Linked DNA regions of Rhinolophus ferrumequinum. The protein of the gene in region 3 purifies or fractionates together with the protein of the main gene of each other region. This does not show direct contact. Links are inferred from orthologs where the notes say so. Each region holds a gene or a part of one and is shown on either strand. Other genes may lie near its edges. The genes, in order: RPL14, RNF187, YAP1 and WWP1.

Region 1 (7,282 bases), on a different chromosome or scaffold from region 3:
TCTTGCCTGCAGCAGCCATCTTTTTTGCTGGAACCTTTGCAGCTGCAGCTGCTGCAGCTGTACCTTTAGCAGCAGGTGCTTTTTTGGGAGAAGCCTTCAGAAGAGCTGCCTTTTGAAGCTTCCTAACTTCAAGCTTGATTATTCGGTTCCTCTGAAAAATTTCAATACGTATTTGTAAGTACGTGTACAGAAGACAACCCGTATGTCCAAGACCCCTATGAAGTCAACTTTGGTATACCAAGCTTGGGTAAACAGAATTACCAGACAAATTTAGGGTTAAAATATAACAATCACGTAATAATTTTAAAACTTACCATTTTCTTTGCCTTCATGACTTTGTAACGATCAAAATCTGTCATCTTGGCTTTCTGTTTTTTAAAAAAAAAAATCTCTCATGTCACCTTCCAACCTCCAGGAAAAAAAAAAGGTCAGAATTGAAATGACTGTAAGTTATTACCTTTTCTCTGGCTTCAATCTTCTTGGCCCATCTTGTGGCTGCCCATTTTGTATTGATATCTGCCTTCTCCCAGGCTTTTCGGACATACTTCTGGCGGGCACTAGAAAGAGCCAAGACCATCAATTAAGGAATCAGCTTTGAAGCCACAGACATCCAAGGACAGCTTTGCGTCCTCTGAAAAGCACAATTTATATCCCTCAAGTTAAAAAGCATATACAAAATGATGCCCAAAGTACCCTTCCCATTCACTATACTTCTAGCTCTAGTTGTCTCTAGAGAGCACATACCACTTGGCACACTACAGTTTTACTCATTTGAATATTCACTAAACCAGCTTATCTTACTATCTCAAACACAATTTTAATAAAAAATGCAAAACAGCCAATGTTCAGGATTTTAAAATCAACTTTCATGTATAGAATATCACCCTGGAGTCGTGAATATGTACAAAGCAATTTCCTTTTCATCAAGAATGAGGTAAAGTTAATCCTTAGACCTAATGTTTTTATTTTGTACAAAAACGCTTAACGATTTGATCATAAAATCCAATTATAATCATTTTGAAATTTATCAAAACCCAGTGTGCTTAAATAAATAGTTACAGCATGTGTGCCACTGCAACTGCATTTGCAGTTGGTAATGACAGCAACACACCACAGTGTTTAATTTTCACAATCTACACGTCAAGAAAAAATTACTACCGATCGCCTCAATTCCACATAAGCAGCTGGGAATAGAACCTCTGTGGTGGCTGCCTGCCATATGAGATGATGAATGTTAAATACTTGTAACTAACATGTTAAAAGTTCAACTAATGACAGCTAGTATTGGGAAAGACAAGCTAGAATTTTTGTTTTGAAGCTGTTTATTAAAATGTGAACAGGAAACCAGAATTCCTTAGGGAGGTCTTTGTAAATCCTGAAAGAGGGTAAAAAAGATGACGGCAAATCTGGATAAACGCAAATCCAGAGAACTACCAGATCACAGAACACTTAAAAAGTAACTAACGCCCATCTATTTCTACATTGTAAATTCCTCTTCTGAATTGCTTTCACCTTTCAACTGTTTACTGTATTCTCAAGGGAAAAACAACAAAATAACAAAAACATTTTTTTTAATTAAACGTTTTTCTAGTATAAACAAAGCTGGGGGAGGGTGTAATGGTTGGTAGACAGTTACCTGTGTGGGAACTTGAGGATGAAGTCAGTGAGCTGCATGCATTTGAAAGGCATTGCCTGTCTCCTTACTTGAGTGCAAGGTCCATCAACCAAAGCCTAGAATACACAAATAAGATGAAGATCTCAGTACAGAACTGAATATTCAAAATAGACAGATATTCTCTAACAGTCGTCCTTTCAGAATTATCAAATCCCCACTATCTGCGTTGGTGGTACAGTGGTGATTATAGCTGCCTTCCAAATCCTCATTATTTAGATGCTTTTTAAAAAAGATTAAACTATTAATAGTACAGCATATAACCCAAGTAAATATAATTTACTTGACAATTTTAAGTCTTTAATTCTTAACATTTCAAATAACTTCATGTTCATTCACAGCCTTTGGTCAATCCCTTAGTTTGTGGTTCTCAAATATTGACAAGAGCAAACAACAGCTTTCTCTGTGCTTGGCTTTGTTCTAAGTTCGCTTTACATATAGTAACTCATTTACACTTCACCAATGTATTTACCCATTAGTTAAAAGCTCTGGCTAGTTTAAGCAGCAGGGGTAATACTTAAACCCAGCAGTGCTGACCAACTCAAGTCTGTACTTGAAACCCCTACTCTGCCTGCTTCTGCAAGGATAAAATAAAGCCACCATCCAGACTACTCCCCACTGGGACGACTGCCATTTATACTGCTGCATACCATCCACTGCCATGTGATGTGACTTTCCTTACACTTACCCTGTTCTGGTCAATAACATCTACAATCGCGACCAGCTTCCCGGCATGAGGCCCAAAGGAGATGTAGGCCACCCGGCCAACCTCCACGAAGCGCCTGAACACCTAAAATGCGGGTTGAAAAAGGAGGAGGAGAACAGAGAAACTAATTAAAAGTCTCCAGCTTATCAGGCTTTGCCGCTTAAAGGAAACATGGGTAAGAACGATGAGGGGAACACGTCCAAGTGCCTGGACGACCCGGATGGACAAAATCCGCAGACTGCGGCAAAGCCGGGTTCCCGCAGGTCTCCACGCCCCCGCCCACTGGCCCCAACTCGGCAAGGTCCCGGCGGCCGCAGTATGGCTCTGGCGGCGGAGGCGCGCACGCGTGGCCCAGGCGCGCCGGGCGCTCCACGCGCTCCTAGGCCGCGCGTCGGGCAAGCTCCCAAACTCATTGCTCCACCCGATCGGGGGATCTTCACCACACGCTACCCAAGACCCGCTGAGCGCCGTTCGGCGCCTCCGCTCCCAGGCCCAGACAGTGGTGGAGCTGCATGGCCGCCAGACCCGGAGCCGGTAAGAGCGATACTCACCATGTTGGCGGCGTTCGGCGAGAAGGAAGAAGGCCCGCCCGACAGTGCGCAAGTGTAGAAAGCCGCCCCGCCCCCACGGTAAACGAGACGCCGACGTGGGCACCGATTGGTTGGGATTGGGGCATGCGTACTTACTCTCACTCAAGCGCCCTCGAAAATGTGGCGGAGCTGGCTTTAGTGTGTCTGCTTTGTTGCGAGCGCGAGCTGCGTGGCTGGCTTCGGTCATCTGGCACTGGAGTTGCAGGAATTTCTCTTAATATTTTAGGGTGAAGAAGAGCCCAGAAGCTATGACTCCAATATAACTCTACACATTCCATTTTACTTTCTTTTTTAACATTCTTCCAACTTTGAATTACTCAGTACTCTCCCGTTTTTTGTCTAAATGTTACTCACGGCTTAGTACTAGATTTTTTTCTCCCACTAAATGACCCCACTAGTATTGTTAACATTTCATTTCAAAGTAATTAAGACTTACAGAAAAGTTGCAAAGCTAGTACAAATGATTCCCATAAACATTTCTCTTTAGATTCCCCAAATATTAACGTCTTATGTTTGCATTATCATTTTTTTTTTCTTGAACCACTTAAGAAATTGCAGACATGATGTTTCTTTATCTCTACACACTTAAATGTGTAAAAACAAGGACATTATTTTACATAATCAGCGGGATCAAAATCAGGAAATTAGTACTATGTAATACGGTCTATTGTTTAATTTGCAGTCTTATTTAAATGTTACCAATTGTCCCACTTACAGTTTTTAGAGCAAACGAAAAAATAAATTTTTGTCCATGATCTAATGGAGGATTTACAAGTTGCATTTAGTTATTCCAGATGTTTAAATCTGCAACAGTTCCTAAGCTTTACCTTGTCTTTCATAATACTGACATCGTAAAATACAGGCTAGGTGTTTTGTAGAACATCTCTCAATATGGATTTATAGTAGTTTTCCTCATGATTACATTCAGATTATGCATTTTTGTAGAAATGCTGTGTCCTTAATGCATCATATTGGAACACGTTTAGGATAGCTTTGTCCTAATATGACTTTATTAAGGTGGTGATAATTGTGCTGACAATTCCCAAATTTATTTCAGTCTTTTCCTCTAAACTGTATGCCACCATTGCTCCATTTAATCTATTTTTATTAGTCGAGGGCTCGTTTAAAAAGAAAATAGATCACATCTTCCTATATAAAACACTTCAGTGGCTTTCTACAGTATTTAGAATACAATCTAAACTCCTTACTCTATCTATATACAAGGCCTTGCATCATGTGCCCCTATATCCAAACACACCTTATAACATCCCTTGTTCCCCTTCTTCACTGTGCTTCAGCCACACTGGTTTTGAACAGGCCAAGCTCTCTCCTGCTCTATGACTTTCACTTGGTGTTTCTGCCGTCAAGAATGCTCTTCCCTCTGTTTATACTCATTGCATGGCAGTGCCAATTCATCTCTTGTATTGTTTTCTAGAAATAGCTCTTCTCAGAACTTAAGCCTGACTGCCACATTAAAAAAAAAGACGTCTTGCCTGTTTTTTAGCTCAGCTTTTTGTTTTCCTCAGACCTGTTATTACAATTGCAATTGTTTGACTCATTTTTCCGTCCACTTAGGTTGTAGTTTTGCATCAGTTGGAATAAGTTCCATGAGAGCAGGATCTTGGCCATCTTTTCTTAGCACAATACCTGATAAAGAGCTCAATAAGTGCGTAGTGAATGAATGAGTCTTTAGGCTCCGGTATCTGCTTTATAATTTACAAAGCAAAAGACATGAATGACGTTCATAGCAGTACTTTTGTAGTAATAGCCCCAAACTAGAAACTACCCAAAGGCGCATAAACAAGAGAATGGGTATACTGAGGAAGTCTAGCAATGGAGTCAACAACTACCTGGAACAACATGGATGATTTCATACACAGCAGTGAAATAAGTCAGACACAAAGACTATGTGCTGTGTGGTTTCATTTATATCAAGTTGAAAACAGGCAAACTCATCTGTGGGTGTTGAAAGTAATGACCCTGTTTACCCTTGGCGCAGGCAACAGTGGGCTGGAGCTGAAAAGGGACTTCTGAGATGCTGCTCTCGTTTCTTCATTGGGGGTTGGTTACGTGATGTGTTCAGCTGGTGAAAATTCAAAGCTCTACCCTTATGATTTGTGCATTTATTTTCCCCAAATATATGTTAACTTAAAAAAAATTTTTTTTTAAGTCCTCCAAATGTTCATCTTTATCCCGTTCCACAGAATCAAGTCCAAACTCCACAACCTAGCATTCACGGTCCTGCACAATCTCACCCTTCTGCCTCCGTAACTACAGGTCTCTCGGCTTTTCATGCAGTTGGGCTCCCTCTCCTAGAAAATGCTGCTCCCCTCTCCTAGAAATAGAAAGTGCTGCTTCCCCTCTCCATTGAGAAAGCGCGTCTTTGAGGAAGCATCTCAGGACCCTTTCCCAAGCGGCCCCAGGCGGTTTTCAGATTTCTCCGAAGCTCCAACATAAGGGCAAGGTAACTCTACGTCAGCCTGATCTACCTCGCGAGTTCGCGGGCATCCAGAAATAAGCAAGATCATTATTAGCAGCTAGTGACATAAACCACACGACCAGACGGAGCACACGCCGAGCTTCGGTTGGCCGGCCACGCCTTTTCCGGGACACGCAACCGTTTCGTCCAATCACGAGGAGGAAGGGCAACTGGTGAACGACGCCAGGATCCAAGATGGCGTCCTGGGCCCTCTCAGACGTTTGTACGGCGTCTCCCTGCGTAGCCAGACCCTTGCGGTAGGTCACCCCGCTAGTCAATCACCGAGAGGAAGGGTGCAACAGACGTGGCGTCGGGGGTCACTATTAAGCTTGGAAGTTTTCCGCAGGTCCTTGGCGGGATTTGTTTTGGGAGCTGTGTCCTCTTAAAGCCCATCCCCTCCGCGATTGCTCGTGGCAAGAGGTGGATGTGAGGGTCCGGGCGGGGACTCGGCTTCGGGTTCCTGCCATGAGGCACTGAGCGGAGAGATAGCCTGGTCCTGGTCCGGACTGAAGGACGCCCCCTTCCCCGAAGCATTTCCAGAGTTTCTGAGGGTGTCATACTGGCCAGGGCTGTCCACCTGCAACCAGCTGAACCCCAATATTCCTGTCAGCTTCAGCTGAGTAGATGTGTCTCGTGTTCCTTTCTTTTCTCTTTTTCTTTCTTTTCCTCAGTCACAGGGGATGGAGGTGTCAGCTTAGCAGACAAAATGTCTGGGGCCCAAAGTCTAAGCCTTTTCACGAAGTGAACCCAAAGCTACCTAGAACCCTGACTTCTTTTCTGGCTCCTGTAACCTTTGCGAGATGTGAACCAATCCCAGTTATGACCAAACTGGCATGACAGTCATGTGCATGCCTACTGGACATGGTGGACAGGTGCCTGCATATTTAGGAGTGAAAAAGTGTGTGTTACGTCTGTTTTCAAAATTTGCATCTGTGGAGCCCTGAAGCTGAGCCCAGTCGACCTGAGTTCACCAGGAATAACCCTGTAGTCCAACAAAGGCAGGTGCATTTGATTCATTGTAAGGGAGACTACATATCGGAGACACCATGGACCATTTAACCAAAGGAAAGGAAAAAGGGGGAGGTTTCATTCTTGCTGATAAAATTTCAGACGCCAAATTTTCTGAGTGTTTGATTTTAGAGAACAAAGTTTCTCAGTGAGTAAGAAAGCAGTAGTCCCTCAAAGGATAGGGTTATTATGACGTTCAACAGATGTAGCATGTTAGCAGAAATATTGTTTCCTGTTAACTTGACAGCTATCTTTATTTGTTGCTGCTTTTCCTGCCTGACGAATGGCCATGCAGACTTGACTTTCTTAATCAGCTCGGTACCTGGTCCCAAGCACTTTGCATTTACTGAAGACTAAGTCTGAGATAGCACTGTATGAGGCATTCAAGGGAGAAATTGCCTACCTGCACAGGTGTAGAGCAGAGCTGCAGAGATGGTTGGCTGAGTGGATGGATGTTCCCAGGTGACAGCAGCCAAATAACATCTTTGCTGCCCTCAACACTTGAACCTCATTTCCTTCCCCAGCATGAATCCTTCCCCTCTCCATCCTGGCCACTGTGCCTATCCATGTCCCACCTGGGGGCTGGAGAGAATCAGAATCCGACAGAGACACCCTGGAAAGGAACAAGAGCTTGCCTGGGCTGGCCCTGACGTGTATTCCTCAGGACATCAAGTATGTGTCAGGTCTTGGGGGACTGTGAGCCTTACATGTTTTGACAGAGTGGCTGGGATGCTCTCTGAGTTATTCAGTTTCTATAGCAGTACTCGGAACTTGCCCCAGGACAAATGTGTCTGCTGAACATATTTTTGGGTTTTGCTCTCTGTTTT
Region 2 (7,939 bases), on a different chromosome or scaffold from region 3:
TTACCATAGGCAGAAAGAATAGGACCTGGCGAGGAAGGCAAGGAGGAGGTGAGGGAGACAAAAGAGGGAGATGAGATTCTCCCTAAGAAAAAGTGCAGCTACCAGACTGGCCAGAACTAGATTAGATTTCAAGAGCAGATCCAGGAGGCCATCTTGCCCCTCAAGATGAACTTTAGCTAATTATATGGATTATAATATGATTAGCATTGTGGTTAGTGAAAATCTCCACCCCCCTGTGTCACCAGGACATGTCCGACCGAGCCAAATAAGGACAAAAATTCCTCCTCCATGGGAAGGAGTGGTCAGCAAGGACCCACCTAGGAATGTCTATAAGGCCACCCCTAACTCTGGAATATTTCGCACCTTCATTTTTAGTGAGATAAATTCCCAAGTCTCATTGTTCTTTGGAGCAGCTGCTCTTCTCCAGACCTGCCTGCTCTCTTCACCTTGAAAGTGTACTATCCTTTTAATAAAGCTGCTTGTTTGGCTTATTAGGTGCCTTCTTGAATTCTTTCCTGTGGCATACACCAAGAACCATTTTTTCTTTTTATGGCAACACCTTGATAATCATAAACCCCAAGGCAGCGGAAGACAGTAGCCAGGACCTGACCAAAGGTCACAAAGTCTGGACTTCTGGCAAGATAAGATAACATCTTCACCTAAGTTATGTTTCAGCTCCTGAGCCCTAAGGCGGAACAACACCCTGGCTGCTTTCCTATGAGACCAGAAAGAGGGACTCCGGGAAAGACTTCAGGACTGTCCTCAAGACCTGGATTATTTATAAGAAATGATGCATTACCCTTACCTCTCAGTACAACCCAACCTCCAATCCATGGTATATTGTGATTTTTTTATCTTGTGTGATTTTGCACCACACAATCTGTAACCTACACGCCATCAGGGAGTCAGGTCTTTAGAGCATAAACTCCCCGGCTCTGGATTGGCCAGTTCAATATCAAACCATTTTCCTTTCTACACTGAAAACTACTTCTCATGCATTTTTTTTCGATCAGTATTTTGAGGGATTTTTAAAGGCTGAAATTAGGGTTAGAGGTCAAGGGTAAATTAGTTAGTTCTTATGGAAGCTTCAGTGGTTTTCCTCCGGCTGATTAATTTAGTGCCTGCAATCTCTGGTGACTTCCTCACTGTGGTCAGGTTATCTGGCTGGGTTGAAGCCAAGTTCTGCAAAACATCTCATCAGTGCAGTCAGTGAGGTTATCTTTAAAACAAAAAGCAGAAACTAAGCATCTCATGACCATCGTTATTGTTTAAGCTATCATTTTGTGCCTTACTAGCTACATCTTTCTATTGTCTCAAGCAACATGTACTTTCACACACTTCTCCTGAACCTTTACAGGCAGGCCTTCAGGACATGACTAACATACTTTATAATCTTTGACTATAAGTGGCTAACATACTTTCTTAATCTTTGACTATAAGCTATGTGACAACCAAAGCAATTGAAGTTAAAAGCCTATACCCTATATCTCTAGACTCTATGATCTAGTACCTAAACGTATTTACTGTTAATTGCCGGTTCCATAAATAACCTAATTCTTACAAATGTCTGAGGTTTTTCAGCACAAAATGTGGGCACCGGCAGGAGATCAAAGTTGGGAGCAATCTCAGGGTCCAACAGCCAGAAGTGAAGAGAGGAAATGTGTGGCCTCCACTGAGGAACTACAGAACAGGAAGTAATGCACTCTATACCCACAGAAGTGTGGGTGGAGCTGAAGAACTGGGCAGAATGAAGAAAGCAGCATGTCTAGCATGGGACTTATGTAAATTAAGTGTGCAGTATGAACACTGAAGAATACACATTTTGTCAGAATTCACCCCAAAACAATGTAGTAAACAAAATAGAATGGTTGCCAAGTGGAAGGTCAGAGTCAGAAAAAATGGGCATCACAGGAAAACACATTTGGGGATACAGATACATATATACATGTATGGATGTAAACAAGAGGGGCCTCACACAGACCTGTGATGGTAGTGAGCCTTGAGCCACTAAGAGTGAGTAGTAATTCAACCATTGTATGAATAGCATAATATAAATACAGGGGGAGGAGGGTGTCAAAAAATGTATACAAGTGGACATTTTGGTCAACAGTTGCTCAAGTGGTAGTTTGCAGTAATCAGATGTGTCTAAACGCTGATTGATGGTAAACACTCTGAGCACCTCTTGTAATTGCAGAAGTCAAACGTGACTTGTATTCATCTTTTGTTATCAGTATATATTGAGTATTACAGTTTTAATAATTTTTTTCCTTTCTTAAAATGTGTATACATATTTTTGGTACCACCTGTATACTTCAATGCTGTGCTGTAGTACCAGATCGCCTGGTGGGGAAGGTATACAGGGGGTGACCGCAGTCCTCCAGGCGGGTCTGGCGCTGGGGTCCGGCTAGGCGGGCGCACAAGGCGTAGGGAGGACAGCACAGGCGGTGGGACTTCAGGGCGGCAGCAGTGCAAGCGTCCCCGGCTGTACGGGCGCGGGGACCGGGATTGCAGGGGTGCTGGATAAAGGAGTATGGGAGCGCAGGAGTACCGGAGAGCAGGAGTACCTTGGTACAGGGACGCTCGGGGTGGGGACAGGGGCTTCCCCTTCCCAGTAGGCCCGCTCAAGCGCAGTCTCAGGCCGTCGGCGTCAGACCAGCCACAAACTGCAGCCTCTGGTATTTATCTGAATGGCCCGTCTGAATTGGTTCAAATTCAATCCAGCCCGCCCCCCACGACAAATCGATTGGCTGAAGCTCCTTCCGGAGCTTTCCAAAGCTTCCTTTATTCTACTGTCTTTGCTTGGCCGCTCGGTTAGGTGTCTGAGTCTGGAACTTGTTGGGATTTATGCTCATTTGTGCCATAATGTTTTCACGCATCTTTGGGTGTACTCCTGACTTCCTGATAGGCGTGTAATGCAGGAGTGCGGCTGCTGTGGAGTCCCAAGGGGGATTTTAGAAAAAGCCGCGGACGGACCTGGGGTGTCTGGGGTATGTCGGCGTCAGGCCGGCTGCCCGCCATACCCCTCCGACATCCCTCCCCCCGCCCCACAGCTCTCCCTTCTCAGGTCCAGACCACCTCTCATGTAAATATATAAATAGGAATATAAACATAGAATATAGAAAATTCTTGTCATAAAATCTCCTTAGTCTTGTGTTTTCAGATCTATGTGTTTTCTGTATCTCCTCCACTGCTACTGGGTTGAACACCCCTTAAGATACTTTAATTTCTGGGCTTAGATAGGAAATGAAAATAAGAGAAATATATACAGCGCACACTTGGGGAGGGGAGATCACACCGATCGTAGAGCGGGAGCGGCTCCGCTCTGGCGGCGGCGGGGTCCCGGACCCCTGGGCACCTGCAGTCTGCCCCTTAGGACCATGCAGTTCTGGAGCCCCGGGAGCGGCTGTGCTCTCCCGCGTGGCCGCGCGTCCGTGTGGCGCTGAGGCTGGAACGCAATTCACATGTTCCGCAGCCTGCGCCTCCATCACAGGGCACGCTGCTGCCTCTCAGAGCCGGCTGCGCGGCCCTGTCCCATCTCCGCTGCTGTGGTCGCCTGTACTTGACTCACACCTGCCGCTGGGATTTGATTGCAGACCTTGTCTTTTCTATTTTCTGAAACAAAATGGAAATGGACACAGGAGCGGCTTTGGCCGACGTGGGCGTTTAGGAAGGACCACCCCAGGAAGCGATGCCGCCACCTTGGGCGGGATTGATACAGGCCAGCACCTGCTTTATCTCGGGTCCTGCACCCGGGTGTCCGTGCAGAGAGGGGGCAGGGCCTTGGAGAGAAGTGTCCCCAGTCCCCACCACGCGGGCATTCCCTGCGTGACGGGAGGACTGCTTTTGTGCGCGGGATCGCTGGGAGCTGTCCAGAGGACAGAAGCTGCCTGGCAGTCTTTTCCTTCTTCGAAATCCGGCTGACATTAGGTAAGGCTTTCCTCCTCTGCAGAGCTCCCCAGCACGCCCTGTGATTTCACCCCCGCCTTCCAAGAGCTCTCAGCCGCAACTATTACCGGAGAGTGGGCCCTTCTTGGCGCGAAGTCTAGGTTCTTGGCTTCTCCAGCAAAGAATTGAACCAGACACGGAAATAAAGTGGTGAAAGAGTAGTTTATTAGAAAAGACAGTACACTCCAAAGAAATAGAAGCGACCAGAGCAGCAGAGAATGGCTCAATGGCCCCGGCTAACCAGACCTTGGTGGTTTTGATCTCTTTTTCTCTCAAATGGGATGTTCCTTTCCGGGCATAGGTCCACTTGATTGACGTCTGGGATTGACAAGAGGCTATTACCTCATCTTTTTAGACTGCTGTGGGAACAGAGCCCCAGAGAGCAGTTTCCAGGCTCTCAGCCTCACGTGGAAAGGTGCTGGCTCGGGTACTAGATGGCAGTTGGCTGTGGCTAGTTGGCCGTCAGCTGTGGCCGGTTAGCCAATTGGCCACTGATATAAGTGTCGCAGCTGTGGTGGAGAGTTGAGTCGTCGGTCGGTTGGCAGAAAAGCAGACAGCAGGTCGCAGGTCGTGTGAATCCAGCCGCCAGCGAGAATATAGTGGTATGACTCCCCTACCTATGGCTCTGTGGGTGTTCCTTTTTGGCCTCACCATATCCTATGTTCTTATGTGGGGAGCGGGACCAGAGACCCCGCATGACAAATGGCACAGCAGGGTATGGTGCTGGGCAAAACTCACCGGAGGATGGTGGAGCAGTTTATGCGTACAAAAGTTCAGCTTCGGGAGGCCGGCGAGGAGTGACACCGGGAGCGATCTGCCTGGGAGACTCGAGCGTCCAGATGGCGCACTTCCCTCTTGGCCATGGAAGGTGTTGTCCTCTTTTTGTTGATCTGCTTCTGCTGTAGGCTCCGAGGGTTGTGGACATTATACACCGAGGCCACCACCCACTCAGACCTCTGGCACGGTGAGCAGGATTCCAACCAGGTAGGAATGGAGTCTGACTCTGGGCAGGAGGACGTGTGGCCCCCACACAGTGTGTGGTGCCCAGTGGCCACTGTTCTCAGGAGTTGGACCCCCAAGGAGGGGTGGGAAGACATGGATGGCTCTCCAGCCAGGGTGGAGAGGGCCCTGCAGGCTCTGGCTGAGCAGTTGCCGGAGGAGGAGAAGGCTACAGCCGGCCGCGTGGGCTGGATGTTCCTCACCGCCTTGAGTCTCAACACGGAAAATGCGCCTAATGAAATAGCCCAGGTGCCGGACCAGGTCTCCCAGTTGGAGGCGCTGGAAGCTCGGGTCCCCCTGTTAGAAGAGGGGCCCCACAGTGGAGACTGTGAGGCAGAGGCGGAGGAGGCGAGTGGAGACAATACAGCTCCTAACCCCCAAGCCCAGCCAATCTTGAAACAAAAGGTAAAGCATGAGCAACCTTTGGGCCCCGCCGGCAACCCAGCTGTGACTGAGTTCACAACCTACACCCCTTACACTCCCACTGAGTTGCAGGAGCTGGGGAGGCGGTACAGACAGCGCCCTGGAGAGCCAGTCTCCGCTACTACGTTTATGGGATGAGGGAGCAGACAACATTCTCTGCTCCCCAGGAGAGATGGAAAAGCTAGCCTTTGTGACAGTGCATCTGTCCCTGCGACAAAGGTTACAGAACTGCCATAGGTTGGCCCAAGACCAGGGCAACCACTCTAATGGAGTGACTCATTGCTGCTGTACGCACAGTATGGGGACAGGCTGGCGAGCTGCCAGACACTGTGAGTCAATGGCAGTCATATATGGAACTTACGCAAATCATCCATGAAATGGGTATGAGACATGCTATTTTCAACCCTATTATGCAGGGACCTGATGACGAGCTCTTTACAGCCAGCATGAAAGATCTGGTTTTGGATACTGTACCTGCGAGTGCCTTTGGATCCTTAGTTGCCATTCTTACGCTCTATGTGGGGTGACGGATCCATGAAGTTACAACTGCCATGGTCACCCTAGAGTATGTTGAAAGCCAGAGGCGAAGGAAGTTAAGACAGGACGTCCGCGCAGTTGAGACCTGGAAGCCCAAATCAAAAGTAAAGGGGTGAGGTCGCGGGCCTCAGAGAGCAACACGCGCACAGATGTGGCATGATCTTGTGGCAGCAGGGGTCGATCAGGAGAAAATAGACCGACAACACAATAAACTCCTGCTGGAACTTTGGAAACAGTTGCATCGCGAACAGCAATTCCAGAGAAGCCTAAAGGAGAAGTCTGGGAAAGCGCGACCCGTGTCCCTCCAGGACTTCATGCGGCCACTTGAGGCCGACTCCTTTCAGCTTGATTAGGGCTGGGGCCAAGGTACCCGGTCAGAGGGGACAGCAGGGACCAGAGGCCCCACGTGGAACTGTCCATACATTGGTCCCCTTCTAATGTGCAGAGGGTTTTGGCACTTGTTGACACTGGCGCAGACTGAAGTCTTGCTTATGGGAACCCAGAACTCTTCCCCGGACCAGCAATCTGCATTGATGGGTACGGGGGAAAGACTGTGACTGTGAAAGCTGTTTCCTTACCACTGGGTATAGGAAGGCTTCCCCCTCGTACCTACAAGGTGTATGTCTCCCCCGTTCCGGAGTATATTCTAGGGGTGGACATGCTACATGGCCTCAGCTTACAGATGTCGGTAGGAGAGTTCTGTCTCCAGATCCGGGTGGTGAAATCCGTGACACATGGACATGCTCACCACCCTCCTCAAGTGTTGCCACAGCCGTGGCGCGTGGTTACAGTGTGACAGTACCACCTGTCAGGAGGACAGGAGGAGATTGGTCTATAATATTGGAATTGGAGAAGGCACATATTGTGAGGCCAACGCACAGTCCCTTTAACTCCCCAGTATGGCCTGTCAAGAAGCCAGATGGGACCTGGCGAATGACTGTGGACTATAGGGAGTTAAATAAGGTGATGCCACCCTTGCACGCGGCAGTACCTTCAATACATGATTTAATGGATTGTCTGACTGTCCGCCTGGGGACATATCACTATGCAGTGGACTTGGCCAATGCTGTTTTCTCCATTGACATTGCACCTGAGTGTCAAGAGCAGTTTGCTTTTACTTGGGACGGGTGGCAGTGGACTTTTCAAGTCCTTCCGCAAGGATACTTGCACAGCCCCACTATCTGCCACGGGCTCGTGGCCCAGGATTTGGCACAGTGGGATCACCCGTCCTCTGTGGCCTTGTTTCATTATGTCGATGATATTCTATTAACATCAGATTCTCTTTCTGATTTAGAGCAAGCAGCTCCCTCTCTTCTCTGCCACCTGAAGTCACGCGGCTGGGCAGTGAATTAGGAAAAGGTCCAAGGCCCTGGCTTATCCGTCATGTTTTTGGGTGTTGTGTGGTAGGGGAAGACAAAAGTTATACCTGAGGTGATTATTGACAAGATACAAGCCTTTCTCCGGCCAACCAAGGTCTCCCAACTGCAGACATATTTGGGTCTGCTAGGATATTTGCGGGCGTTTGTACCCCATTTAGCACAAATGGCAAGGCCCTTGTACAACATGATAAAAAAGGGGGCCTCATGGGATTGGACAGAGGCTATAGAGCAAGACTTCGTAGCCACAAAACGGGCAGTGCAGCAGGCACAGGTTCTGTAAGTAGTGGACCCCGGCCGCCCATTTGAACTTGATGTTCACATAACCCAAGAGGGGTACGGATGGGTCCTCTGGCAATGGCAGGAGCATTTCCGGTTGCCAGTGGGATTTTGGTCCCAATTATGTAACAGAGCGAAGGTCCACTACTCACTAATAGAGAAACAGCTGGCTGCTGTGTATGCAGCCCTAGTGGCCACAGAAGCCATCACAAGAACGGCACGGGTGTTGGTTCGAACAACCTATCCCGTCCAGGGGTGGGTCCATATGTGGACCCAGGGACCCAAAACAGAGGTGGCACAGACTACCACTCTTGCCAAGTGGGGCGCCTACTTGGAGCAACGGAGCACCCTTAGTTCAAGCCCTCTGAGCACAGAGCTAC
Region 3 (7,677 bases):
AAAAACAAACAAAACTTCAGTAGACAATGAATAGTATGAATTCATAAACTGCTGGATATAAATTCTTGTGTGATTATTTATTAGAAGAATAAGTACACTTTTCAGTTGCAATTCATTTTGGCTTATTGATGCCACAAAATGGGGAATTCAATCTCCTATGTGTATTATACTTTCAAAACATATTAAGTAACTAGCAGCATAGCTGTGTAGTCTGTAGGGTGCAATGCCAACACATGAGTCCAGAAACCCACTTCCATGAAGAGAAAAGCATACCTAAGTCTACTTCTTACAAATTTAAGGGTTTAGGCAAGCAGCTATCTCGTTTTCCCTTCCTCCTTATAACCCAGGTTTTAGTCTGCAGGTTAAGTTCTTCTGAATTCTAAAACCCTTTGGCCTGAGGCAGGAGAACATACAACAGGTCTGCAAATAGACAGGGGAATGGCAGTGGGGGCGATAAGTCTTTTTTCCACTCCAGTTACAGCCCGAGTGGACTAACTACATCGCAGTATTTGGAAAACCAATTAACTTTTGGGCAAAGTTCCTATGCTGAAGTTTAGCCTGAAGCAAGTTCTTTTTTAAAAAGGAAAGAAAGAAAAACCTACACTAAACAAATCTACTGGGACCTGTTGGAATGTTAACAAGTTCATAATAGTTTCACTTCAATGTTGCATCAAGTTGACAAAATAATCGAACGTTGTGTAGGCGACCAGCCATGTTCATATCCTCAATAAGAATTAAAAAGCAATGGCGAGTCTCGAATTAGTCATCGCTTCCCAAACATTAACTTGTAATCACAGTTGAACGAGGCAGGACTCGGCGATGAGTCAACCTGCAGTGTATTTTCAAAGGCTTGTGTTAAAACCAAGGCACGGTAAAGCGCAGCTCAGGTCCTGCGCAACGTGCAGATGTGGCTAATTTAAAAGCATTTCAGCAGACTGTAAATAATAGCCTACAATTGGGAAATCAACACGTGAACCTACTAAGTTTGATAAGAGTGAGCTTGCCCGAGTTCCAAGGCACAAGGGAAACACAGGGGTGAAAGCACTAACTCCATAAACAACTTCCAGGAAAGTCTGGATCCTGTATTCATAAAGCGCCGGGGCCGCGAGGAAAATAAATGCTTTCGGGAGGGGGAGGGGGAGAAAGAGTAAGAAACTACAGGGACTGGATCAACCCCCACCCCTAATCAACACTGGAAAACAAGAGAACAATTATTTGACTCTCCAGGAGCCTGAAGTGGACCGAGAGGCCCCGAAGGAAAGGGGGCTCGGGGCTCAACTTCACAAACTCGGCCGCCGCTGGCAACTCACCCACACACAAATGCCAGAGGCCCCCCTCCCCCTCCCCACGGCGGCGGCGGCGGCGGCGGGAGCGAAGGTGCTGAGCGCGCGGAGGCGCGCGCATTGTGCAAGCCCACCGCGGCCCGGGCCGGCTCTCCCCACCCCCTTCCTTCCTCCCCACCTCCCCCGCCACTCCCGCCAACCTCCCGGGAACCCCAGGAAGAAAGAAAGAAAGTAGGGGGAAAGCACGCCCCCCGGGGCTGCAACCGCAGAGAGAAACTCCGAGGGGAAAAACAAATCTCGGCTCCAGACTCCGGGAGGAGCGGGGAGCCGGTGACCGCGGCCCAGCAGACGCCTCCGGTTCCTCCACTTCTCTGCGAGAGCCCAGCCCCGCTCGAGCTCCCGGACCCCCCACCTCCCGGCCAGGGCTGGCCACCGCCGCTCCCGACCGCCCCCGGGCCCGGGGCCCGCCCGACGGGGAAGTAGGCAGAGGAGCGGCGAGGTTACCTGTCGGGAGTGGGATTTGGGCTCCGGCGGCTTAAAGAAGGAGTCAGGCAGCTTCCGGAGCCTCATGGGCACGGTCTGGGGCACGTTGGCCGTCTTGGGGTTCATGACGGCGTTGAAAAGCGCCTCCAGGTCGGTCTCCGAGTCCCCTCGGACGTGCACGATCTGGTGCCCGGCGGGGGGGGCCTGAGACGCCGCTTGGGACCCCGGGGGTGCCGGCTGCCCGGGCCCGGACGGTGGGCCCTGCCCCTGGGGGGGCTGCGCGGACGGCTGCCCTTGGCCCTGGGGGGCCGGCTGAGGCGGCGGCTGCTGCCCGGGATCCATGGTTTCTGCCTCCCCCGACGCGCACCCCGACCAGGCGGGCGAGGGCTCCGCCCGGGCGCCCCGGCTCGACGGGCCGAGACCGGAGAAGCGGCGAGGGCGGCGGGCCGGGCTGCGCTGGGCGGCGGGAGCGGCGCTCTCCTCGCTCTCAGGGCCGGGGGGCTGCGCCGCGGCCCCGCATCCCCCGCCCCGGCGCCTCCGCCCCCGCCCTGCGCCCGGGCTCCACTGGTCTGGCGGCTGCGCCTCGGGAGGGGCTGCGAGAGACCCGGACCTGCGGCGCCTGAGAACTTTTTTCCTTCACTCCTTTGACGGATGCCAGACAGCTTGTTGCTTTTCCCCTCCCCCTTTCTCTTTTATTTCCTTTTCTTGTTCCTTCCTTCCTCCCTTTCTTTTCCCTGGCGGCGGCTGCGCCCGACTGAGACAGAAACTCGCCTCAAACGCCAAAACTAAAGTTGAGAGAACCGCCCGCCCGAGCCGCTCTCCGGCTCCGCCTCCTCCAGGCTCTTCCTTCCTCTGCGCGCCCGCCCGCACCGGTCCCGGGACCGGCCGCCAAGGGAAACTTTCCCCTGCAAGTTACTACATTCCAGCAGACTCCCGGCCTCGGACGCCCCTCCCGGCCGCACGTGACCAAGTCGCCCTCAGCCCAGGCCTCCGCCGGGGCTTTTCCCGGTCGGGCCGGGAGCACGCCCGTCGATCCGGGCTGTGAGCGCTGCCGGCCCGGCGACCAACGTTGGGTCCCGTCTGGGTCGGCTCTGGTCTCTGCGAGCGCGGCCGCCCTTGGCCGCAGGAAGTCCTCCCGCCCAGCCCGGCCCTTTCCCGGCCAGTCCTCGGGAAAGGCTGAAAGGCTCTCAGTTCGCCCCGAAATGCTTAAGGCTGAAAGACGTCGGGAGGGGACGCGTAAATCCACTTAAACCCTCCTCGCGTTAGCTCGACTGGACCAACCGGAGTGCCAATGCGGGTTTAAAGCCTCAAGGATAGGTTGGAGTGAATATAGATACCCGTAACAGGCACTTATTTTAATAAGGGTCCTTTTTTTAAAAAACATTAACTTGATGTTTTTCACTTTGTAATATGCAAAAAAACTCCTTGAAAGGGATAAACGATTACTGGAATTTGAAGCTCTGAGATTAATCAGTGACTAGTAATTTACTAAAATACAAAATTGCCTTATTTAAAAGTGAAAACCTTTTTTTTAACCACTGAAACTTGCAACATAGTCATGAAAACCTCAGCGCAAAGAATCAGTGCTCAACTTTGGCTAGAAGCATTCCTCTCTGTACCTGCCTTTCATCCTCAAGGGGGTGTGAGCCCACCCCTTTTTGTTATCTCTGTGCCTGGCACAAGGGTGGACTCCATGAATGTCGACTGAAGGAAAAAATGAATGGGAGAGGAGCTCACCCAGGCACCTGATTCTCCATGTGGTAGTGCAAGGAGTCCATTTGAAATCATTAAAAGCAATGAAAACAAAATTTAACTCATACATTCCGATTTTTTTAATAAGCGGCTTTATTGAGATAATTCACATACTATACAGTTCAGCCATTTAAGAAACTCAGTGTTTTTAGTGTATTCAGAGTTGTGTAGCATCACTCTGATTTTAAATCCACTAGCCCATTCTAAAAGAAAATCTAACTTCTTGTTTTAGTGATGTTGTCTATAACGCTAGTGGATCAGATGTATGAATAGGTTGAAGCAAGAAAAAGTCCCCAGAGCAAAAAGGTAATCTTCCTCCAGCCAGGACCTGCCCAGGAGAATTTTGAGGAGGGATGTGTATCATTTGGTTTGGTAGGGCAGGGCCAGGGGAAGAGGCTTCAGGCCCTCGAGATTCTAAAGCAAGGTCCTAATCAACTGCTCTGGACCCCAATTGCATGTGAGAAAGGAATCCCCCTCAAAGATGTCTGATTGCTTCTTAGATTTATCCCCACTCCCATACCAAAAATGTTAAGTGCATTTAACCATGAACTTGTAGGTTCTGAAGTTACAGAGATTCGAGTTCAGGTCCCAGTTCCACCATTTACTAGCTGTGAGACATTGGACAAGTTACTTATTTCCTGTTCTTTAATTTCTTTAATATTGGGGTTAGGGGTAATAACAGCTATTTCATATGTTGAGGAATTAAATGAGTCAATGGGTATAAAGTAAGTACGTAGCCCGGTTTTTGGCCTGCGATGAGTTCTGCGTAAACGTCAGCTATCATTGTTGTCCATGTTCACAGACCACTTCACATGTAGTAAGTACACAGCCTCTCCTTTGCAGCAACCCCCACTCAGGATGCTGCTGGCAGCCCCTTCCTCGCCTATCCAGTAATCAATCCACACAAAGCCTTTGGGCAGAAACCATGCATTAAAAACTTCAACTGAAAAAAAAAGGAAAAAGACTTTTTAAGAACCAAAGTGATTAAAAACTTGGGATTGTAATGGAAGCTGTCCCTTAACTAGAGCATTTAATACTATGAACACTATAATTAAAGGGCTTAGGGTACAGCATAGGTTCCTTTGTTCAGTATTGTTTCACCTGCCATTAAACTGAGAACAAAATTACTTTGATAAGTGGATTTGAAAGACTGTTTGGAGTGATTTTATGTTCTGTAAGCACCTCCATAGCATTGACCAAGATTTTGTAATTTACTATTCCTCATTTATAAAATTTCAATCACAGGTTAGTAAGGGATAATGATAACATGTATTCAATCCTTTGTCCCCTCTCTTCCTCTCCAGCCCCATTTTTGGAGCAATTATCAGTTTAAGGCACCTTGAAGTGGGGAGTCGCCTTCTTCATACAAAGACCCACCATGATCTTGGATCATTTTCAATAACCATGTAGATCACTATCAAAATGCTAGTCTTACAATGACTTGCCCTCTCACATAAAAAGGACCCTCATCTCTACTTCCCTTTGGCCACCTGCTCCTATGTCCATACCGATCATCATCCAGAATACTTCCGCTGTGAAATCAAACTACGTATGTTATACTCTTCTCTTAATAGCCATTTGGTTCTCTGGTTTCATTATTTACACCTCGTTTATTATTAACCTCCTTCTTTTCTACCAACCTATCACTCCCTCCTGTTTTCACTTCTTTCCCAATTCAGTTTAGAAATCATAACTCATTGCTTCAACCTCTCTTAATCATCTATGCCCTCAATTCCATTGCCCCATGTATTTCAATGAACTGAATTTTTAAAACTGAATTAATCAAGTCACCTGTCTTTTCCATTCCAACATCTAAGGCTTATGGGGGCCTGGGTCCCACACTCATTAAAATCTTCAAACAAAAGCTTTTGACATTTTGTCAAACTGGAGTTATACTCCCATCCCTGAGATACACCTACATAATCACAAGAAGGCATTCATTGTAGAACTTTAAAGTTGGTGCTATTACCCAATGACACTCTGTAATGCAATATGGATTAATATTTTATGTAAATTCTGTATCTAGTGAATAGCACAATAACATTGCATTGTAATCATTGTGTGGTAAAATAATTAATTTACTAAGGGTAAACATTTGAAACCTACCTTGGTTTTGTAATCCTGTTTTGGCATTCCAGTATGCTTGAGTATACTGGTGGCTTGAAAAGAGGAAGTATCCAGCTTCTCTCAGCCTCTGGAAAGCCTGGCTGACACCCAGGTTTCTGGGGACAACTGGAGGGAGTCTCTCAGGCGAGTGGGCTGGTATCTCTCCATACTTATAGTCTCTAACCATGTTTCCTTGCGTCTGCAATCAGCCCGTCACTCATCCATGATAATGGCTATTCTAAACTTCACCACTCTCATGGTTATTCACCAGCCCCCAATCCTTCAGAAAACCACATCACCTCCCATTGCTCAGAGAAAGGAGACCACCATGCACAAAAGCCCTAAAAATCTCCCCCTGAACCTACAGAAATGTATACAAGCTTTTCCCTGTACATACACATTTTTGGAAAGAGCAGCCCACATGCCTGTTTTTCACTTCCTCAGCTTTTGTTCATTTCCCCTCTGGGTCAACACATCCACAACTGAACTCTTTACCTCTACCCTCTTCCACCTCCAGCCACACCCTCCCAAGCCACATCCTCCTCTGATTCACCATCTCAGTTAATGGCATCACAATCCACTCCCTTGTTCAAAGTGTCATCTGTTTACCAATTTTAGAGAATAGGCAATTTTAAAGCACTTCAGAAATGAACATCTACATGTAAATCATTACTTTAAAAACCAAACTCATGTTCACCTGTTTAGTTATGCAGTATCAGTTGGGTTTAGATAAGCCACATTCTATGACAATACTTCTTTGTAAAAATTGAGTGCCAACCTTTCACTCATTTAAATTGGTTGCTCTAATACTGGTTGTATGGTGGACATTTTCCCCTCATAGCAGAAAAAATATTTATAAGCAATTCTACTCAGGTTCCTATCTGGGTGAGCTAGTTGCCTAAACTAATACGCAGTTCACCAGGTTATGACAACCTTCCAGAAAGGGTTGGGGGCACGAGTAAATTGCTCAATCCTATTCTTTTGGTATATCGGAGGACCTGTCAGGCCCATTGCAGAAAGATCTCCTCCATTCAAATACCATATATATTTTTCCTATTATACCATAATAGATTAATTTTGGTTTTTTAAATGCAAAGTCATAGATACTGCAGTAAAAGAAATCATTTTAAATAAAATTTCTTTTTCTTCTAAAATCTAGCTGAAGTTATCCACATGGGAGAAATTAAAGTTTGTTCTGACAGCGGGATGTGAAAAGTATTGGAGTACAAGGCCCTTTAGGCTTAGGGCAGAACTGAGTGCAGCATATAATGGAGGCCCTAAAGAGCCTCTCAAATGCTATGAGCAATATGTATTGTCAAATTCAGCCTGTGCTTTCTACATCGAGGCCTGAAAGACTACTACATCTCATCATTTACTATACTTTACTAAATGACACTAAAAATGAAAAGGTATCTTCTAAAAATACTAAATATACTCCCTATGGATGGTTCTCAAGGTGCGGTCCCCAAACCAGCAGCATCAGCATCAGTGAAAACTTGTTAAAAATGTAAATTCTCAGGCCATAACCCAGAATTACTGAATGAGAAACTTGAGGTGGACACAGCAATCTGGGTTCTTTTTTTTTTTTTTTTTGTTATTATTATTATTTTTTAATCTGGGTTCTAACAAGTCCCTGTAGGTGATTCTGAGGCATGCTAATGTTTGAGAATGACTACTCTATAGTATATTCCACATTCTGTTTTTATTCTATAAATATTATATACCTTACTTTGTAACCATTATGCATCAAGGTAAATACCTTCACTGTTTTATAGATAAGTATCTCTTTAATTTCATCATTTATTCTAGAAATATCTATATCTAGTATATAATATGTATTTGATAATTCAAAAAAAATCTATTTGGTAACACTTATGTTGTAAAGGATCTCAAAAATCTTACCTGTCTTGAATCTTACCTGAAAGCTGACAATTAATCCTATTTTAAAAGATTTATTAAACAGTGATTCTAATTTGTTTATAGTTTTAACATTCTGTGGTGGTTGTTTTGACATAAGTGTATCTTCAACATGACACGTGGCACAAAAAACGTT
Region 4 (7,865 bases), on a different chromosome or scaffold from region 3:
CATCCAAAGGAATAAGTAAATGATTGGTCTGATGTCACTCTCTATATGCCCAGTTCATTCCTCAGCCTCACCAGCTCTCCCCCGCACATGGAAAACAAGGTACAGATAGTCCAAGGAAAACCTAAGACCCCAAATCACAAAATGTTAAGAACTGGAAGGAACCTCCCAAGGATCATCTAGACCCCACTGATGAGGTCACGTAAAGGCAGTAACAATATCCAATGATGGTAAATCAGTTGCATATAAAACATCTTCATACAAGAAAGCAACCATCACTGTCAATCAACTCCTGATTCCACTTTACCCACTCATGATTGAAATACTCAGGGCAAACACTTAACCTCTTGGGCTAGTTTGCTCTGTAATATAACAGCAAATAAGTCAAAATTCACTGCAAACCACAATACAAGTGTAAGGAGATACTGTCTCTAGGTGTATCTACAGTATGTCTCTACAATAGGGGTTCTTATCAGTAGTGGAAGAATCTGAAGCTTCTATTGTTTTAAAAGGCCCCCAGTAATTCTGAGAGCTGCTTCCAAGCCCACCCACTGGACCAAGGGTTCCATGGATGAGCTTCAGGTGGTCCACGGACAACCTCTAAATTTACAACCACAAAACACAGGTGCATATGGAAATTTTCTGGGCCAGCAGATTACTTTAATTTCATCAAGGATTACTAATCCCCAAATGACTGACAAGTACTGCTGCAAAGTGACAGTCACGTGCCGAAGACGAAGCTTCCATAGAGGTTGCTCAAAATGGTATCACTATATTCTCCCAACCAACCTGGATCAGAATCATAGTTATTTTCACTTTCTTCATTTTCTCTTTCATCAGCAGTTCTGTCTAATCCACTTCCTTCCTCCTTTCCAGTCCTATTCTTACCGGCCACAGCGCAGACACCGCTACCTATGACCACAGCAATCCAGAGGTCTTTCTACCCCCAGGTTCTCTCTATTCAATTCACACAACACAATGTTGCCAGATTGATCCTCTGAAAACAAAGCTTGTAATCGTTACATTGCTAACTCAAAAATCATCTGTAAAACCCCCACCACGTACTAAATCCAAGGTCATTAGCCAGGCATTAAACGCAATAATAAACTGGCCCACTTTCTACTTCTAGCTTTATCCTCCTTGTTACTGGTACAAATACTTTATGTTCCATCCCAGCATAATTACTTGCCTCTCCCCAAATGTATGACGTCTGTGCTGTCCCTTCTCTGCCTGGATTACACCTTTCCCTGCCTAGCAAGGGTCTTAGTCATCCTTAAAACAAAGATTTCGGAAGCCAGAAGCTCTACAACTAACCTCCCTAACCCCACCTTGCCAAACGGGTTGTGAGCTCTACCCCTTCTGAATTTGGATTCTGGATGTAGCTTAACTATCTGTTAAAGGACAAATGAGGCATTTGTGTATAGTCCCATCTGCCCAACTTGTCTGTGAAGGCAGAAACTGTTATCATCCTCATCTTTATATTCCCCAAAATACCGCACAATCGCACGTATGGTAGTAGGTGTTCAATAACTGCAAAGGAGTAAAAGAAATTTCAGACTTGGTGGGGTAAACAACAAAGATTTCTATCTCTTTAAAAGCAGAGACTTTATCTGTGACATTCTCTAACGGGCATGGCCTCCAAAAAACATAACCCTTCCTTTCAGCTTTCCAAAGCCTACGTGTTGCAAAGAAAAACTGTGTGAAAATGTCAGTCAACTACATCTGAAAGACCTCCTCCACATACTTTTTACACTTCTCAACCTGAGTACCTCCCAACGCTCGGCCACTAAGTTTCAATTTAAAAAATATTAACTATTTATGAAAAGTCATCATTTCCAGTCAGAGTTAATTTAGTCCTTTATAGCTAACAAACAAGTCACATAAATAAAAGAATGCCTTTCTTTTCTAAAAAGGTGCATTTTGTTTGTATAATACACCCAGAGACCTAGTGAGACAGATCAAGTGGATGTACACGCGCCGTGTGACCTCTTGCCGAAACCCGCATACAACTGCTCACCAGGTATTTCACGTAAAAACACCAAAGGGCCCGAAAGATAACTCTGGACATTATTCTTTTCCACCACTCCTGCCAACAGCACATCAAAGCAGACACTCAAATCTTTTTGAACATGAGGCTACACAGAAAGATACAAGACTTACCAAATAGAAAAAGAAAGCCACGTCAGGCCCCTGGAAATGATTTTACTTGGAAGAGTAAAAAGGTCACAAGAATAGGTACTGCTCTGCTCTGGTTGAAGGTTTCCTATAATTACGGGAGCGAAGGAGGCTGCACTCCAAATCGATGGAGTGAAGAAAGGACCGTGCAGGGCACAAGCCCGAGCCTTTCCACGCAAGGGGCAAACTACGAAATTCATGTTTGTGCATAAAAGGACGCCAGGAAAAGGTCCCAGTCACCGATGAGATAAGGACCAGTGAAAACTGCAAGGTCACTGGGACCGACCGGGTCACCGAGGTGGAGGTGGGGTTGCGTTGGGGCGCTGCAGTCCGCGAGGACCCGGGAGTGACCCAAACAGCCGGGAAGAGGCGTCCCAAGGCGGGAGCCCTGCGCCCGGGACGGGCTGAGGCGCGAGTCGGGGCACCGGCGGGAAGTCCACACTGGTGTTTTCGGAGCGGTGTCAGGGAAAGGGGGACGACAAGCTGAGGAGGCTGGACAGCCGCGGCTGCAGTCACGGAAACACTTCGCGCCGCTCGGGTATCATTCGCTCGGGCCTGGGCCAGGGCGACTCGGGCGGACTCGCGACCCCGCCCCAGACAAGTCCGGCCCGGCGGGCGGGCAGCCTCCGAGGGTCCCGCCCGGCGATCGGTGCCCGGCCCCGCGCCCCCCGCCCTCAGCCCGCGCCCCGCGGTCCTCACCGACTCCCCGCGGCCTCGCAGCGGCGCGTCCCCCGCGGCGGCGCCTCAGCCCTCGGCGCCCAGGACCGCCATCTCGCCGCAGGCGCGGCCCCGCAGCCCAGGCCGCCCGCAGCCACTCGGATCAGCTCGCGGACACCCGGCCCTCCCCCCACCCACCCCTGCCGCGCGCCGCCCCCGCCGACCCACACCTCCCTCCTCGGGAGCGCGCCTCCCCGCCGGCCGACCCGCGCTGCACCGCGGCCGCCCTGCCGCCGACTCTGGACCGGATCGGGCTTCCCCGAGCATGCGCAGCCAGCGAGCCCGGCGACGCCTGTGGGAAAGTCCGCTGCTCCGGGTCTTCGGGGCGGTCGGGGGACAGGGAGCGCCAGCCAATGGGAGAGGGGGGCGGGGCCCGAGGAGCGGAGGGTGGGGCCTGAGCAGCGGAGGGGCGGAGACTGGGGGGAAGCTACTCAAGGCTGGAGGTGCATGCTGCTGACGTGACTTTCGGGCTGGGGCGGGATGGCGCGTCACCTCAAGTGAGGACCTCGGGGCACCAGCGTTCCAGTGTGGAACGCTTTACAACAAAGCTAGGCTGTTTATAAATAGTCCTTGAACTAGCTGGGCGCTTCAGGAAACCATTGCAAGAGTAAATAATTGCATTCAGCCAAAGACTTTCCAGGCCATTATTAGTCACCAAACTTTTGTTCCCCTTACCCCACCATGAGTACAATGATAAAAGTAACACTGATCAAGTACGTGTGTCATTGTAACTAACCCACAGAGCAGTCCCATAAAGAAGAGTCTGTCATCCCCATTTATACAAATGGCTCGCTCGTTTGCAGAGATGCTGTTGGTTCCTCATGTTGCGTTTAGAGAAAAAGGTCCCACTGCAAATGGAAGTCAGTGGTGACCCCATTACTCACCAGATGACCTTGTCAACAAAAGGTCGCTGCCGCCAAGCCTATGGCAATAGGAGTTCCCCATATGGGATGCCAAGAAAGGAGAAACTTTATTCAGGTAAACAGTTTGCACACCAGGGAGGAAGCCTCAGGAGGAAACCCATAGATCACACACCAGAGACAAAGGGAAACCTGCTTATATGGAGGAAGTTCCCCATTGGTGCCTGATTGGTCTATTTCTATGCAAATGAGGAATCCCAATTTGCACCGTTTGATTGGTCCAAATTGCACTGTCCTGATTGGGCAGAATGATGTGATCTGATTGGTTGTTATGTAACCACTGATTGGTCAGTAAAGATACAAATGAGGATATAGCTGTGTAGCTCCAATTGGGTGGGGCAGGCCTCAGTCCCCTTGGTCAAAATACAGTACCAGGAGCTTCTTTGTAACTTCAGAGACATAATAAAGGCTACGGAGCATGGATTTCTACAATTTTTGCCCAACTGCCTCACCCAGCCGCAACAAATTACCTATAGCTACGCCCAAGTTGAAACCTCTCCAATGTGAACCTCTTCACTGTTTGCTCTTTCCTGTGACCCTGTCCTTGTCATAGCAAGGTTTCCCGCCTTTGCTATTGGCAACAATTCCTCAGCAGAATTACGTTTTAAGTCTTTTCTGTCTTAAATTATCCTTTGACTTTAAAACCTCCTTCTAGTTCTCTCTCTTCTGTCATAACTAAGCTTTTAAAAGAATCATGTACTAGGAACAGCATCGACACTCCGTGAATATTTGTAAGAGTCGGTAAATATCTCTTGTTTGAATGAATATATATTATTTTCCACTCCAATGCATCATTCCCACCCTCCTATGTCATACCTACATGCGAGGCACAATATATATACAATGATTATTCTAAACTACCCATCTGAGCATGTCACTCCAAGGCTTCAAATCTTTTATTGGCTCTTTGGGGCTTTCAAAACAAAGATTAACATTTTCAAGTCTTCTATGTTCAAATACTTGGTCTCTCCTGTTATGAAAACGCTTCAGAGTTCCCTGACTGTGCTCACTGTTCTCTGCTTTACCGAGTACTATTTATTCTAACCTTTTCTTCACCTGTCCAGTTCCCTTAAAAATAAATTCAAGAACACACTTATTATACAAGTATACTCTCAGACATTACATACACACGCCCAGCAGAAGTCTGCAGTCCATGTCCAGAATACATACAGGCCTCCTTCTGCGTCCTGCTTGAGTCAATCTCACTTCCAGCACTTTTGAGTCCTCAGTTTCCCCCTCAGTTCAGCTCCATTCAGAAGCTCCTAGTATTCACCTAGGTCCCTAAGTTGACATCCTTTTATTGTTATATATTCTTTGGTTTCAAATGAACACTATTACAAATAAATATATTTTCATAAATCATTGTCCATGTCCTTACTTACTGTCTGTTTAAATCATTAAAAAGTAATCAAATGAATGAACAGTTTTAGCCCTTTTGAAACATCGGCAAGTTACCTTCCAGAAAGTACTTAGGCTTAGATGTCCCTATTGCGTGGGATCAAAATGCAGCTCTGCCACACAGGTCCACATTCAGACTTTCATGGGTCCTACATGCTTTTATCTTTGTGGGTCTCTTCCTCCATAAAATAATATTAAAAATTATAACTGCATTGACATAAACGTGAACTTACTGATTGCATACATTAAAACGTTTTCTTCAACCTGAACATTCAGTTGTTTTTCTTCTGATTTTAAAAGAAATTAAAACATTTTTTGTGGGCCCCTGAAAGTATAGTCACAATGAGTTGAAATAATTTCTGATGAAAGTCAAAGAAGAAAGTGCCAAATCAGCACCACATTTGAACATCAAGAAGACAAAAATCATGACTACAGAAGAAGTACACAACTTTAACATAGACAATGACAACATAAAAATTGTTAAAGATTTTGTTTCAGTCGATTCAGTCATCAATTCAAATGAAGCCTGCAGCCAAAAAAATTACATGAAAGCTGAGACTTGATAGGGAGCAATGGAAGAATTAGGAAAGATCATCAAGAGCAAAGATGTATCATTAGAGACGAAGGCTAAGAGCATCCACACCCTCATCTTCCCAATTATTATGTACAGATGTGAACGTTGGACAGTGAAGAAGCCTGTTAGGAAACAAATAATAATTCATTTGAGATATGGTGTTGAAGGTGAACTTTACGGATACCCTGGACCTCCAGAAAGATGAACAAGTGGGTCCTAAAGAAAACTAAGCCTGAAACATCACTGGAGGCAGATATGACAAAACTGAAGCTGTCCTACTTTGGGCCCATCATGAGAAGGCAGGGTTCCTTGCAAAAGACAATAATGCTGTGTTAAATAGAAGGCAGCAGAAAAAGAGGACCAAATAGGAGATGGACTGACTCCGTAAAGGAAGTCACAGGCTGAGTCTCCAGGAGCTGAGCAGGCCTGTGAGGACAGGACACTGTGGACATAACTCATTTACAGGGTCTCCAGGAGTCAGAGCCAATTCAATAGCATGGAACACACACAAAAGTACGGTGAGCCTGAGGTACTGTGCTGTGACAATTGGATAAGTCAACCCTGTAGCCACCTATGAGCTGTGAGATTCAGCCAAATTCCTTAAGTTGACTGTGCCTCAACCAGAAAACCGGTATAAGGCTACCATATGATGTTTTTGTAAAAAGTAAATGAGTTACTACAAATAAAATACCTAGCATTACATGGCACATAATCAATAAATTACTATTGCGATATTGTTATCAAATTCCCATAATACTATGTGAGAGTGTATAATTGTCCTTTACTATACCAAATTTATTGAACAAACTCAAAAAGAGTCTGGAGGCTTTGCTAGAAATAAATGATATTTATTCAAGGGTCTTGGAGTTTGCAAACCGGAAACACAGTTCGATGAAAACCTAGAAGTGTTTCAAAGAAGAAAGAAAAGTTAAAAATTTTTAGCCAAAAGTACATTTTTTAGAATTATCAGTCTTGCTTCCTTAGCCCTAAGATTGGTCCAGGACAATTATCAATCAGATGACAGGCAGGATGGTGGATGCCGGGTGGTCCCAAGAATGGGTACTAGGTATGGTCAGATCAGTGGTTTGGATAACAGATGTCATGGGGATGAATACATGAGTCCTTTAGGGGGTCATCAGGTGGCCTGGACATATGAGTCCCCGGGGGGTAATTACAGGGCTGCCTGGAAATCCACATGTCTATTCAGGCACTGACGCAGGACTGGAAAGCTCAAAGGAGTTAAAGTTTCCAGGCGAGTTAGAACAAGAATGGTCTCCTCAGGTCTCAGCCTTCATAATGGTAATAATTTCAGCAGCTTGGTTAAAGTGACTCCATTGTGTATACTCCCTATCTTCACTCCTCAAAGTCATCATGGTATATTTTTATATGGGAAATATGGAATCCTCTTGTTGGTTCGTTGTTCGTTTTCTTACTGGAATATTCGCAAAAAGGCAATTTATATATAATGTAGATAAAAGTATTGGTCTTTTCCATTTTTGTTTTCTTCTATTATATTTTGTTTCACAAGTCCTCTCCTATCCTGAGATCATGTCATTTACCTGCCTTATTTTTTTCGACTTGTTTGATAATTTCACTTTTCCATTAAATAATCTAATCTTTTTGGGGCAGCATCCATTTTGTGGGTCCAACATATGAATTAATTTTTTTCATTACTTACATGTAATAAGATTGACAATGGTGTTAAGATTACCATGGTGTCACATAGAAGTAAAGAAGTAGGATTTGAAATAGAATTTTCTATCCTATCTAAACATCTTGCAAATGAAGAGTTTTGAATCCTTCTGTTATTTTTTTTTAACCCAGTGCCTACATCAAAGTGACATTGAGGTGAAATGAATTTCCTATCTGAATTTCAACAAAAAGTTTGGCGTAACTGGGAATGAAAAATGAGTACTATATGTTAATATCTAAAGACAATGATATACTTTGTCCTCTTGTATTGACATATTTTTGAAGTGTCTTTTTCATGTATGATAGCCTTTAAAATTAAGTATTGAATCAATTGAACTTAGAACTCAAGCACATAAAATTTATATCACTAAATATTGTGCCAAGACTAAAGT

Evidence for each region.
Region 1: the proteins of YAP1 (region 3) and RPL14 purify together in Homo sapiens (affinity purification with mass spectrometry, with the first as the bait; 3 studies listed by BioGRID). This does not show direct contact. The link is inferred for Rhinolophus ferrumequinum from reciprocal best matches to the Homo sapiens genes YAP1 and RPL14.
Region 2: the proteins of YAP1 (region 3) and RNF187 purify together in Homo sapiens (affinity purification with western blotting; 3 studies listed by BioGRID, with this or other methods). This does not show direct contact. The link is inferred for Rhinolophus ferrumequinum from reciprocal best matches to the Homo sapiens genes YAP1 and RNF187.
Region 4: the proteins of YAP1 (region 3) and WWP1 purify together in Homo sapiens (affinity purification with mass spectrometry; 3 studies listed by BioGRID, with this or other methods). This does not show direct contact. The link is inferred for Rhinolophus ferrumequinum from reciprocal best matches to the Homo sapiens genes YAP1 and WWP1.

Annotation. Positions count from the first base shown.
Region 1 is NC_046300.1:12,791,836-12,799,117, forward strand, and holds the start of RPL14 (60S ribosomal protein L14), read right to left. Parts: upstream 3,003-7,282; 5' UTR 2,933-3,002; coding exon 2,930-2,932; intron 2,463-2,929; coding exon 2,361-2,462; intron 1,732-2,360; coding exon 1,637-1,731; intron 558-1,636; coding exon 458-557; intron 369-457; coding exon 315-368; intron 152-314; coding exon 1-151.
Region 2 is NC_046307.1:1,322,606-1,330,544, forward strand, and holds the start of RNF187 (E3 ubiquitin-protein ligase RNF187), read right to left. Parts: upstream 3,019-7,939; coding exon 2,974-3,018; intron 2,517-2,973; coding exon 2,333-2,516; intron 1-2,332.
Region 3 is NC_046294.1:71,671,007-71,678,683, reverse strand, and holds the start of YAP1 (transcriptional coactivator YAP1), read right to left. Parts: upstream 3,018-7,677; 5' UTR 2,327-3,017; exon of another isoform or gene 2,207-2,326; 5' UTR 2,109-2,206; coding exon 1,788-2,108; intron 1-1,787. Other genes in the region: CFAP300 (cilia- and flagella-associated protein 300), read right to left, coding at 4,292-4,461. UniProt on the Homo sapiens protein: Transcriptional regulator with dual roles as a coactivator and corepressor. Critical downstream regulatory target in the Hippo signaling pathway, crucial for organ size control and tumor suppression by restricting proliferation and promoting apoptosis.
Region 4 is NC_046297.1:1,989,013-1,996,877, forward strand, and holds the start of WWP1 (NEDD4-like E3 ubiquitin-protein ligase WWP1), read right to left. Parts: upstream 3,009-7,865; 5' UTR 2,872-3,008; intron 2,415-2,871; exon of another isoform or gene 2,158-2,414; intron 1-2,157. UniProt on the Homo sapiens protein: E3 ubiquitin-protein ligase which accepts ubiquitin from an E2 ubiquitin-conjugating enzyme in the form of a thioester and then directly transfers the ubiquitin to targeted substrates.